Canis lupus familiaris: one gene and its partner. The protein of the gene in region 2 purifies or fractionates together with the protein of the main gene of each other region. This does not show direct contact. Links are inferred from orthologs where the notes say so. Each region holds a gene or a part of one and is shown on either strand. Other genes may lie near its edges. The genes, in order: MAPK9 and DUSP10.

Region 1 (6,318 bases), on a different chromosome or scaffold from region 2:
ATTTATAATAAAATTTCTTATCAAAGTTCCTCCTCAGAACACATTCCTATAGAATGCTGACCCAATAGCTTCCAAAAACAGTAAAACACAAGATATGAATTTTTAACAGAATAAGCTCATGGGGCAAGCATTAGGAGCACAGGTAACCAAAAAAATGTGATCATTGTAACTCCATTTCTGCAGTGACACTTCAGTACTCAGTAGCTTAGTGAACTCTGAATAATTTCCACATCAGAAAGTCTGAAAGCATCAATTTCAGGTGAGCAGTTTTAAATCAGAAAGTACTCAATGGTTAATCACCACTCTTGAGGGCACTTCCTCCAAAAAAACCCCATGAGGAGGTTTCCCAGAAAATTCATGGGTTTCCCTTAGGAAAAGGGGATGCTCCACGAAGTGGAAAAAACCACCACCACCACCACACAGGCGTTTGGAATCACTTCGCTTCCTCGAACAGATCCAAGTGTGGGGAGGTTGGGGGTGGATGGATGGGGTTATGTGGCTTCTTTCAGCAAAGAAAGAAAAGCCAAATAAGAACATTAGGTTGGAAATTGGAAACGCTGTCCTGGGAGATGGTGCACCTCCCCAGGAATGAGGGAATGACCCTGACCAGGCTTGGGGAAAGCAAGCGCTCAGGAAGTCACCGCAGTCAGCTTCAGTGACCGTCTTGTCAAATTCTACTCTCACCGCTAATGGACTTGAGAATCTGCCATTGTGTTGTTGACATGAAGTGTTAGGTGCCTGATCAAGAAGGCGAAGTTTTAGGTGGGATTTTAAATTAATAAGTCCAGAAGACCAGGAAAAATGAGTGAGGGTAGATTAGGATTTTAAAGGTATATCTGTCTTAGGCAGCACAAAACTTAAAATTTTATCATGCAATAAAGATGAATGTACACTCATCCCAAATTCAGACAATTTAGAGGAAACAAAGTGTCCATATAAATGTCTAGATTTCAGCAGTGATAATTCTCAGCCCAAAACATGAAAATTTAAAAAAAAGTTGTATTTTTTTATTAAATAGATTTAATTATATTCCTTCTGAAATACAAAAGATAGAATAAATTGTATCATAAAAGGTAAGACGTGATAATATGATGGTGGCCAATTAACACATAAATCTATTTTTTCTGGACAGACACCAAATTACTTGAGAGGATTAAGAGATCATTCTAGAAGCAGCACTACCTGGAAGATTATTTGGCATTTAAATACTGATTTCCAAAGTGCTAGATGGCAAGTCTGAGCAAGCACATGTGGTCACATGCATGTAAGTCCCAACAGTTATGAGGATGAGAAATTGTCACTATGACCGCACAACTTAAAAAAAAAATTGTCTATTCTAATTGCTCACCTGAAATGACCTTGAACAAAATCTCTAAGAGTGTGGCTTGCACGTGTTTTCTCCAGACATAATCTGCTTCGTTGTAGAATCTAGGCAGGCAATCCTATTAGAACTGAGTAGGGGCAAGGCATCGTGTTTCTTACATGCAGAACATGGAGTTTTCTGTTTGGTTCCATCAACCCCCAAGCATTTCAGGCCCATGGAAGCGAGAGCTCCTTCACTGTTGACGAGCTTGTTACTTGTGACTTATCATCGGCAGCCTTCGAGGGGTCCCGTCGAGGCATCAAGGCTGCTGTCTGTGTCTGAGGCCAGCGTCTGCTCCGTGGACATGGATGAGATGTCGTTGATGGATGATGACCGGGAAGGAGTGGCATTGCTACTTACTGCTGCATCTGTGCTAAGAAAACCAAATATAATAAAATCTGAGGCACGACACTGCTGCAGGTTCGGGCAGTGAGACATGAGGCCTTTCTCAGCTCCATGCTTCTGTGGCCCCCCAGCCTAACTGCTCGTACTAACAACCCATGAGCCTGCTACACGTGCCCAACTTTTTCTGGAGTCTCTCTTTGGGTCCAGTATTCCAAAAATTTCTTGTCTGTCCCTACAACATTCTCCTTTTCTTCCTAGTGGCTAAACATCACATCTGTGCATGTGTATAATGTTTGAAAAATATGCTTCTTTAAAAAAGATATTAATAGAAAATTGCTGCATCTATCCTACAAATATAGGTGTCACAAAAGGCTGAAGCCCAAATAGGGTTCAACGGTCATCAGACATTTCAGCTATAATCATCAACACTTTGTCCAAGGGAAAAAACAGGAACCTTTGAAGAATTCTTTTGTAATATAAATGGAGTGGAAAGAAATCAGAGAGGGAGACAAACCATAAGAGGCTCTTAACTCTAGGAAACAAAACTGAGGGTTGCTGGAGGGGAAGTGGGTGAGGGGATGGGGTAACTGGGTGATACACATTAAGGAGGGCACGTGATGTGATGAAGCACTGGGTGTTGTATGCAACTGATGAATTATTAACTCTACATCTGAAACTAATGATGTACTATATGTTGGCTAACTGAATTTAAATTAAAAAAAAAACTGTTAAAGACTGTATACAAACAAAAAAAAAAGGAAAAAATTTAGTGGCCTCTTGTTCATTTTATTTTTGTTTTCTACATCCCCAATACTGATGTTTTTTTTTTTTTTTTTTTTTTTTTTTCCAATACTGATGTTTTGATTTCTGAAGTACACAAAACCATGCCATTACCGACTGTCCATATTTTAGGCTGGTTTGAGCAAAAATAAAACAGTCGAGCTCTTGGAGGCCAGTGCTTGCATTCTTAAATTTGTGCCTGATTAACCACAGCACCTAAATCTGTGCTAAAGTTACATAATCTCTAGATGCTTGACACATATGTCATGCTGAATATAAAATTCAAGAATGAGTACACGGTGCAATCTGCACTTCTGTGTGCGTGTGCTCCTGTGGGGGTGGAGGTGGGGGGTGGCAGAGGATGTGAAGTGAGAAGATAAATACAACTCAAAGGAGTTCACTTAGGAAGCAGGTGGGATCCTACTGACACATGTGTTAGGTCTCTAACAGTCACACGGTGTGAACAGATTCCCAGGCAGACCAAGTACAAATACAGGAGAATCACATGAATGATTTTCTCAAAAGAAAACCAAATTCCATTTTGCTTAGATTCATGCTAATTTTCTTTAATCACTGTGTGTATGTGTGTGTGTGTGTGTGTGTGTGTGTGTGTGTGTGGTGGTACAAAGAGGGTCACACAAATTGGTAACATTTTAAATCAGCTCCCTCATCTGTAAACTGAGCTGACAGCAGCAGGGACAAGTGCAGAGCAGGGATGTCTATAACACAGTTTAGTGCCTGTTACATCAGTAACCCGTTAGCTGCTGCTACCACGACACACTGAGACAGGAAGACCATCTACCTCGGGGAGCTTTCAGGCCCAGTGCTGGTCAAGCCAGCATTTAGCGCACTGCTACCAGTTTGGAAATGGGGTTGAGGGGGTGCTAAGATCAAACTATTAAAGCAATCACTAACCTGAAGGCTGATCTTTCACAACACCATTCTTGCTTCTTTCTTCCCAATCCAGCACTTCTTTATAAATCAGTTCTTCAAATGGAAATGCAAGTTAAAAGGCTTCATCAGTTTCTTTGTGTCTCTGAACCCTGCTTTCTAATCAATCAGAACCACTCCAAGGGCACTGTGATGCCTTATTTTTAATTATGGTATACAGTTAATTCAATAATATCATCTGGTTAACTCAATAGTATCACCTACAAAAACCAAAACACCCACGTCTTTAACTCAACTGTTAGGGCAGCCAAAAACGTAGGCAGTTCTGAACCCACAGGGGGTTTTATAAGGGGCTGGAGACCAGCAAAAGGGCTCTCACAGAGCATTTCAGAGTACTGGATGCTTTCACACTGTTTGCACATGTTTCTCTCCATTGTTACTTGGGATTCTCCAAAAGGAACTGATATCTATCTATGGGTGAGAAGCCCCTCCAGACTGGCCAGAAATTAATCCAAGTTCCTCAGTCATTTCTTGGCTTCAACCTCCATTTCCTTGATTCTGATTTGTGAGAAAAGCTAACAACATACTAAGGAAGCATTAGGGGTTCTTAAAATTTTGGCCTTTGTGAATCAAGATGAGAACACTGCAAACATTTCTGGAGGCCTATGAGCCAACCGTTGGCCACAGGCTGTGCCTGTGTGTGTCGGCCTGCTGAGCATGTGTTCATGCAGGTCATGGCACTCTGGACGCCCCGGAGCAAGGAAACATTATCTGCTTGGGCAGGGCACATTGCCACCTTTGACCTGCACTGACCATGGTTCTCAACTACTACTGATTCTGCTTCTTAATGGAAAATTGTTATTTGACCTCCTGATTATGGGTTTAGTTTATTGTGGGTTGTTTGGTTTATCTTACAGTCTTCAGAAGCAAACAATATGCAATCCATACCTGCTCCTCACTAATTGTTATCTGCAAGTTTCTTCTGTGCTAGGGATTGTGAAGAGATGGGCTGAGAGGGGCTGCATGGTCCCTAGCTCCTACCCTAGGAAGGCTACTGCTGAGAGTAAAGTGCCGCAAGCGAGTGGCAAAATCAGCTCTGTTCTTTACCTTTCCACTCTTCAATTGCATGCTCTCTTTCTTCCAACTGGGCATCGTAAATCTGAGGTGGTGGCTGAAAATTAAATTACATATGAAGTCAACAGTTAAAACCATAACGAGGCATGAAGACACTAAAATCACCAGGGAGAGTCTAATCTATGTATCATGTGGCTTTCATTTCATATGTAGCTTTTTAAAGATTTCTTTATAAGTGTGATATTACATCATTTTCAGAATCAAAATAATTAGAGGGAAATTAGCCCCCCCCAAAATGGAGCTATTATGGTCCTCTTAATTATAACATGACCTCAAGACACCCTAAAGGCATCTGTCCAAATGTAACTATAAAATCAGTAATTTGAGCCACTTCCTAGAGACCAGTCCTGGATAAGGACATGCCAGCTCAGGTTTACAGTTCATGTTAGAGCCCCTGTACCCAATCCGCAGCTCACATTGGGCCATCCCAAAAATTTCCTTAAAAATCACATGCTTATTATAAATGGGACTTTCATATGAAACGTTATGTTTCTGTGGTGGTTAAATCTACAGGCCAAAAAAAAAAAAAAAAAAACTAAAAAAAAAAAAAAAAAATCTACAGGCCAGCCCTAAAATGAGCCCACCCCTATGCCAGTTATCTCGCTTACAGCCAGAGATCACCCATGCTGGTGCTGCTAAGGGAAAATGCGCCTGAACACTGAGCTCGGAAGTGGAACTCGCCCAGCAAGTGCCTCTGGGAAAGGATAAATAAACTTGTGCTTTTCAGCAAGTTTCTTAAGCCTCTCTGAGGGGGTGGCTTAACCAAGGTGTTATAGGCAAAGCACATGGCACCTTGCCAGGTACACGATGGAGGCTTAGTAAACCGTGTTATTACACTCATACATCAGCATCTGCATAAAGGAAGACAATGCTATCACCACAGCAGAAGCATGTCCACCCCTAAAGTACACTGAGCGACAGCCCCAGAGCAAAGGTCCCAGAAGCAGGCCAGGTCTTGGACAACCCCTGGCCTCTTTGTATTCGGGAGTCCTCTGAAATCTAGAACTTGCTATCCTTACTGAGGCCATTCTGGAACGACAGAAGATCCAAGGAAGCGGACTCCCTGCCTTTACACACGAGTCTTTCCGAAACAGATGCTTACCGCTTCAGCTTCAGCAGGGTCATACCAAACAGTAATGTAAGGGTGACGTAAAGCTTCATCTACAGAGATCCGCTTGTCAGGATCTATCACTAACATTTTTGACAACAAATCTCTGGCTTGACTCGCTAGGATGAAAACAAATATCAGATTAATTAATAAATTAATGCTGAAACATAGAAAATCACAGAGAAAATGTGACAGTACAGATAGAACAAAGATGTATTAAAACTTGACATTTTTGATAGGTTCTGGATCAGCTGAGGCTTTTTCTTTAAGAATAAGCCAAGGAGGCACTTTCACTACAAATCTGGTCTTCCAACTCAGGTTTCTTGCCTCTGGAACTGGGAGGGGAGGAGTGGCAGGGCCTGGGAAAAGGGTACCAGGTGGACACAGGCCAGCCAGAGGCTGACATGGTGCCCGGGGAATGCTGCCACCAGGGCAGGCAGGGGAGCTGAGATAAGGATGGCGCTGCCTGGAGTGCAGGCACAGAGCATGAGCAAGGCTTTTCTCTTGATGGCCCATCAAAACAAAATTAGAACAGGCTTTTTAAGCCATAAAACAATCTCACATTTGCACACCATAGAATACTTTACAGATACCTCCGCTATGACCACAGCTATATATAATGTTGGAAACAGACACTTAAAAAAAAATCTAGAGGTTAGTTGCTAGAAAAAAACCAACAAGCTCAGTAACTTAGTCA
Region 2 (6,912 bases):
AAGAACAGCGGGTTGCGGAGTATTTCATAAAAATGTCTCTGTCCCCTTGGAGCTCTGGCAGAGGAACAGATGTACACTTAACGCTTTTTGTGGGGCCTTACACTAGGGATCTCCACCCTCCTTGACGGTCACTTTACAAACCAAATAAAAGCCAAGCTGGTCAGAGAGGTGCGAAAGACGATTTCCCATAAAAAGCACTGGTACCTGGAGGTTTACTTGTCGTTCACCATAATTGCTGCTTCCTCCGCTCCATCAACTTTGGTGAAATCTGAGACACAATAACTTTCCAACCGGTTATTGATTGGAACAGAGCCACCAGACCAGCTATGGCTTGAGATACCGTCTGGCGGTACACCGCCTCTCCAAAAGGCCCAACAACGGTCTCAGAGAGGTGGAAGGCTGGCGCAGGGCAAACAAGACGCTGACTCGAGACTAGAACCCAGGTCTTCCGGCTTTGGGTTCAACGTGACTGTTTTTTTCTCACTACAGCAAAAACAGTTAAGGGCAAAGAAGGGAAGGCGAGAAGAAGAAAGTTCTGGACTGGTCTCGTGCCGCCAGGGTAAGGAGAGCGCTGGCATTTCTAGAACAGAACCCAAAGTGAACCCGGGCTAACCAGGACTGTGCTTGGGAAGGGAACAGGGGCATTACCTTTCAACACCAGAGGTTCCTTGCCTTCTCTCTTCAGGGACTCGAGGACTATGTGGAGTGGCTGGGAGGGCATCACTCGGCTCGGCTCATTGGTATTCTCATCATAAACTATAATTTCTTTGGAAAAGATCCTCTTGAAAGAGTCCTTGCCTTCCCTACAGGAAATCAAGTCTAGAACCGTGATCTTGCCCTGCTGCAGTCTCCGCCGGCTGATCTTATCGGCACAATTAATGTGGACAGCTCCTTGGATGTGACTCTTGTTATACTCCATGAAGGGCCTGCAGTCAATGATGACAGGGCCCTGGCTCGGCAGGGGACTCTTGCTGCATTTGGTCATCTTCTTCGCCAAGTCATTGGGGTAGATTATTTTGATGCTGGCTAGCTGCTTGGGGGTCCCTGCCACGGGGCTGCCCACCCCACCTGATGGACTTAAAGGGCCTGCACTGTCAGTGTTGTTGACCATCTGGTTGGCAGGGCAGGTGGCAGAGGTTCCGAGGGCGGTGGTGGCGGTGCCAGCGGCGATGGCTTGGGTTTGGGCCTGATTGTCCTTGTCGTAGGTTGCCACAGTACAGCAGCTGGCAGTGCTGCATCCACAATTCAGGGCGCGGGCAGAGCCGCTGGATGAGGGCATATACGTCAGATTCGCAGCCTTGAGGGATACGACGGTGGTCGCAATGACGGGAGGGGGGCTGTCACTGCCCGGGGTGGCCGAGCCAAGGTAGCTAGAGTCTAAACAAAGGTTGAGATCCTGAGGTCGGACGGGCCTAGACAGTGCCACTACTACCCTGTCGTCTAAAGGAGACGGAGGCATGAGGAGGCTGAAAACTGGCAACTGAAGAACTCAAGACAGTCTGTAAAGAAGGGGAGGGGGAAAGAAAGAATAAAGTCATGTGACACACAAGGCAGTCTGATCCAAACCCTAGGAAAGGCCTTTGCATCCCTCTGAGTGAAGTTGTCCTAAGGGCCCTTTATCAAGCCGCTCTCCAAGCCCGAAACTCATTTTTTTTTTTTTTTTTTTTACAGATTCCAAGAGGATGTCAACCCGAGGGCCCCCCTCCTCTTTGGTCACTAAGTCCAAGGTTACACGTACAGCCCACACAGTTGATGAACCACCTTCTCACGGACGTACTACGTGGAAGCTCAGCCTTGGAGAAAGGACAAGCACAAAGAATGGGAAAAGCCGAAGACAGAAAAGAAGGCTCCTAAGAGGCATCTATTCTGGGCCTCACCTCCTGGGCAGAAGCATAGTGCAACCGTCTGAGCAAGACCCACTTGTCCACCCGTGCATACTTTCCGTTTAATTCCTTCACTCACTGCAAAGGCAAAGGAATGACCAAGAGCGCTGGCCCGGCTCACCAAAATATACAGCAGCTAAATATACATCAGGGGCGGATGGCAACTTTCTGCAAATCAGAATGAGAGTATCCCCCTAAGTGAATCTCTTGAACGGGGAGCTATTCTTGCTTTGCATTCCTTTGAAAAGCACGACAGAGTCATATGAAAACCTCCCGTGTTTCCTGTTAGTCTCTTATAAATTAATTCTGCATTTCCCCTTTTGTTACAAACGAAATGTCCTGAAACAAAGCCTCAGGCTAAGGAGCCAGGCTGGTAACCCCCAACCCTGGCAGACCCATCGCCCTTTGCTGCCCACCTCATCCCCCCCCCCCCCCAAACACACACAAACACATACACACACTCCTGCCTTTAAGGAAAGGACCACATCGACTCTGCTACCTCCTTCGTTTCCCTGCTGACAGAGGCCGGGCATCCCAGAGGGATGGGAGGCAGCCCCGTGGATAAGATCTCAATCCCCCACAGATAGACCCCCGCCCCTCCAAGAGGATGAATTCCGTAGAAAGGACTTCCCAATGAGCCGGTCCCTGTTAAAGGGGGCAGTGAAGTGTTGCCCACAGGGTCCACCTCCTGCCTCAGGAGAGGGAGCCTGCAAAGGACCAGTTCCCTCCTTCCATAGGCACAGGGGCACTCTACCACCCGACCCTACCAGCTCCTTTTCTATTAGACACGCACCGAGAAAAGAAACCAAACCCCATGCAAGAGCCGCTCGTCTAAAGGAACTTTAAGAGATGTCTGGAAAAATGTCATCTATCATCCGTCTACACACGACCGTCACCATTCTCTGACACCGAGCCAAAGTGTCACAGGCAGAGTCCACACGCGGGCGCGCACACACACACACGCAGACACACAGAGACACGCACCCGACTTGTTCCCAGATCCCCACCGACTCAGGTTTCTCTCCTCCACTTTTGGATGGGAGAGAAGGGTTCATCCCTGGCCCTCCGGCCCTCCCACTCTCCCTCCCTCCTTTGCGTAGTATTTTTTTTTTTTTTTTTTTTTGAAGAGCAAGTACTATTCCAGAAGCTAGAACTGTTTCCCAGCTGGACCAAGCGGTGAAAGTCTCTGCTATTGTGTTACCAGGTAGGGTATGTCCCAGGATCAACAGCCCATTTCCTTGGTGAGGGACGCATAAGCGTGTTCATGGAGACACAGGCTGGGACCCCCACCTCTACGCGGAGTGCGCGGCTCACACACACACACACACACACACACACACACACACACACACACACACGCCGGAGTGTAGAAAGAGATCTGCATCCCTGCAGCAGAGGGTCGGGCGTCTATATTGCCCATGAAAGCATCCAGACCGGCCCAGGAAACCTCCCAGAGAAACACTAAGCTGCCCCCTCTCCCTTGCTGGCCGTCCTTCCACCTCTTAGGCAGGGGCTGGAAAGAAAATTAAGTCGTTAGAGAATGCTACTTCCCCACTCCTGGGCGCTCATCCCCCTTCGCAACACAGCGCACTAACAAGCCCCTGGCATTTAAAACTGCCGCAAAGCATCCCAACAAACCTCATTTTCTTTCTTCTCCCCAAATCCAAGTCGACTGCGGAGAGAGTCAACGCACAGGGCAGCGTGAGCCAACAGCAGGAACCCTATACCCTCACCTGCTGCGGCTCCCCCGTGAGCATCGCATCACACACACACACACACTCACACTCACACTCACACTCACACCGCCTTACACTCCCAGGCTCTCCAGAGGAGCCGCGCTGACTTCCACTTACTTCATAAATAAGTGTAGCCCTCCACCATCTGGCGCTCCGCTTCAGCTAAGGATTCGCCCATTCAGCCCCCATTCACTTGGCTTCATTGATCTCCAGCAGCAACATAGTTACTTTCTCTTTTGCTACACTGTAAATGTAAGGTTCTGAGGGGGCGGGCCGGCTGCCGAGCGACGGCACGTCGGGCCAATAGGAAGCCGGAGAAAGCCGACCGCTACCTCGCCGCGGCCCGCGGCCAATGGGCAGCGGGCGGGGCGGGGCCGGGGGCGGGGCCTCGTCTCTTTAAGGAGGGCTTATCCGACGCCGCTCCGGGTCCTCGGTGTTAGAACGCGGGCGGTGATGTCATTGGCAACCAATCAAAAACTTAAAAGGGCCAGCCGGGGCCCGCGCGGAGCAGCTGCTCTCTATTTACATGTAAACCGAACCGGCTGGATGCAGTTAACCCTTTCCGGGGCCGAAGTGTCAATGGGCCGGATCGCTGCTCCGGCTCAAACCGGCTGGGTCCCTGGGCCCGGAGCCCCCCGCGTGCCCCTGCCCCGGGGGTGCGGATCGCGTCTTCTCTTTCCCTCCTACTCGGGACCAAGGATCGGAAGAGTCGGAGTAACTTTCCGAGGGCGGGCCCCGCGAGCAGTCTCCGTCCCCGGCGGGGAGCCGGCTCGCCCAGGCGCTCCAGGTGCTTCGACAGACCCTAACCCGAGATCCGCGGCCGTCGCCGGGCAGCCTGCGGCGGGAGCGGCGGGAGCGGCGGGAGCGGCGGGAGCGGCGGGAGCGGCGGGAGCGGCGGGAGCGCGCAGCCCGGGAGCCGCTCCTGCACCGGGGCCCCGCGAGCGCCCACCACGCGCTGGGGGCGCCGGGGGCCGGGAAGCCGGGCCCGCCCAGCCGCGCTGCTCCCCGCGTCCTCCGCCCGCAGATGTCGCTGCCCCTCCGGGTGCCACCCCGCGCGGCAGCGGCGCGCTCCGGCCCGCCTGCAGCTGCGCGCGGTCACGCCCCCGCCGACCCCGCCGGCCTCCCGGGGCTCGGCCCGCCGCCCGGAGGGCTGCTCAGAGGCGGCGGCCTGGGGCCCGGCCAGAAGCTGCAGGGAGCGCGCGCAGTAGCCGGGCGGTCGCGGGGCTCGCCGTGCGCGCAGGGTCCCCGCCCCCCAGCGCGGCCCCGGGGCGAACGCAGGCCCGCGGGCCCCGCGCTCCTGGGACACCGCCGCGGGCGGAGAAGCAGCCGGAGCGGAGGGTAAACCACCCGCCCAGGTCGACGGGGCGGCGCCGCCGCTCTGGGTTTTCCAGACTTTTTTTTCCCGAGGAAGAGCCTGGGGGTGGGGCGGGGGTGGGGGCGAGGCAGGCTGGCTTGCGCCTGGAAAATCTCAGAGAAACTGCGGGAAAGTTGTCTTGGGGTACGCAGAGGGGTGGAGATGCTACCTGCGGGGAGCCTGCATCAAAGGACCCTAAAGAAATAAGAGCTTTTTCCTCTTCCCTCGCCTGCAGGCGCAAAGGAGTTTGATAAGGACAGTAGAGTCTTACATGAGGAGCACTATAGGATACTCGGCTATGAGTTTTCTCTCTTACTAGATTGAAGGTGTTTGGAGACATGCTTCGGGCTCCACGCCTGTCTGAGTAAGTAAGCTAAGTGGCAGCGACATATTCGTATAATTGCTTTAAGTGCAGATCTGAAATCAGGAGTTGCCAAAGGATGGCCACGCTCAAAGAGCTACTAAGAGAAATCCCCTTCTGTTGGGGAGGGAGGGGGTATGTATACTTTTTTACACATGTGCATGCACATACACAGTTCAGCTTCCGCACCCGTGTTTTCCACGTGCAGGAAATGCATACAATCATCTTTAAAAAAGGAAAGGGTTTTGGGGAGCCCCTTCTGCGTTCACACACCAATGCACATCCACGTTCCCTTCCTTAATGATAACTAATGAGTACTTAGGACACAGCCTTTGGTCCAAATGCCTTGCGGATCATCAGTAGGCCCTGGCCAAGGAATAATTTGGAATCTGAGTAATTTCATAGAAACCAGAAAAGAAGTTCCCAGAGGGTGTACCCTGGGTCTATTTGGAGCTTTAATAGCTTGCCTTTCCCTAACCATAGAAAATTATCGAAAAAATGTTCACTAATTCGGGATTAGAAAATTCTGGAGATAAATCCTGATTCTGACTCTCATCTGTAGTGTCTGTTCATCCAGAGACATTGTTCATTTATCTGCAAAATGGTAACACCCAGCCCAGAAGAAAAAGGGAAAAGTCCTGGTGTGTGTGTGTGTGGGGGGGGGGGGGGGGTCGGGAGGGGACACCATGATGACGCTGCTGATAAAAGGCATTCAGTCAAAAAGCATTGTCCTTGCTTCCAGAAACTGGGTGCCTCTGTGTAAAAGCACTTGTGATCTCTAGATTATGAATTCATGGCTAATGCTTCACTATCTAAGCCCAAACAAAGTAGGGATTTATACAATTGCAGAAGAGTTTATAACAGCTTTCCCACAGACCCAGGAGGGGAATGTCACTTGAGAAACAAATTTAACTCATTTAATGAGATGATTATTTTATTATGCTTTCAAGCTAGTGGGTTATCATAATTTAGTTGACTAAGAGTCGAAGCCATCCAAGCTGAAAAATTAGGAAAAATGGCAACATTCCTCATCATTTATCAAACGTGAAACATGGAAAAATTACCAGATCATTAACATATATAAACATGTAATTTTTTGTTAATTAAGCATCTCTAAAGGTATAACTTATGTTCAAATCATAGAGTGGTAGAAAACAAATTACAGATGGATATTTTTTTCAGTTGCTACACTTCTGAGCTTTTTTTGTACAAAAAGAGGTGATTTTGTTTTGTTTTGTTTTGTTTTTTTGAGTCATAAATGTGAAAACACTATCTGAAGTACTGCCCTTAGATTGAAATTTGTAATACCAGCCAGCCAATGGCTATGAACCTGATCTCTCTACAAATAGCCAGCAAAGCCTTAATGTTCAATTTTAGTCCCGAAGAAACAGCAAAGCATCTTCATTGTATCTGAGTGTTCTATCATGATTATGCTGAGCCATAACTTTGTTCCAACAAACATCCTAAGGAAAATACTGTTTTGATGCAACGCACTATGTGTTAAATCCAAAAGATGAAGATAATTTAGGCCAACATATAAGATATAATTTAGGCCAACAATTGAGAAATATATTAATT

What was found.
Region 1: the proteins of DUSP10 (region 2) and MAPK9 purify together in Homo sapiens (affinity purification with mass spectrometry; 3 studies listed by BioGRID and IntAct, with this or other methods). This does not show direct contact. The link is inferred for Canis lupus familiaris from reciprocal best matches to the Homo sapiens genes DUSP10 and MAPK9.

What each region holds. Positions count from the first base shown.
Region 1 is NC_049232.1:1,735,307-1,741,624, reverse strand, and holds part of MAPK9 (mitogen-activated protein kinase 9), read right to left. Parts: intron 5,741-6,318; coding exon 5,616-5,740; intron 4,551-5,615; coding exon 4,487-4,550; intron 3,476-4,486; coding exon 3,404-3,475; intron 1,737-3,403; coding exon of another isoform or gene 1,732-1,736; coding exon 1,589-1,731; 3' UTR 1-1,588. UniProt on the Homo sapiens protein: Serine/threonine-protein kinase involved in various processes such as cell proliferation, differentiation, migration, transformation and programmed cell death.
Region 2 is NC_049259.1:16,924,206-16,931,117, forward strand, and holds the start of DUSP10 (dual specificity protein phosphatase 10), read right to left. Parts: upstream 3,896-6,912; 5' UTR 3,737-3,895; intron 1,500-3,736; 5' UTR 1,460-1,499; coding exon 649-1,459; intron 1-648. UniProt on the Homo sapiens protein: Protein phosphatase involved in the inactivation of MAP kinases. Has a specificity for the MAPK11/MAPK12/MAPK13/MAPK14 subfamily. It preferably dephosphorylates p38.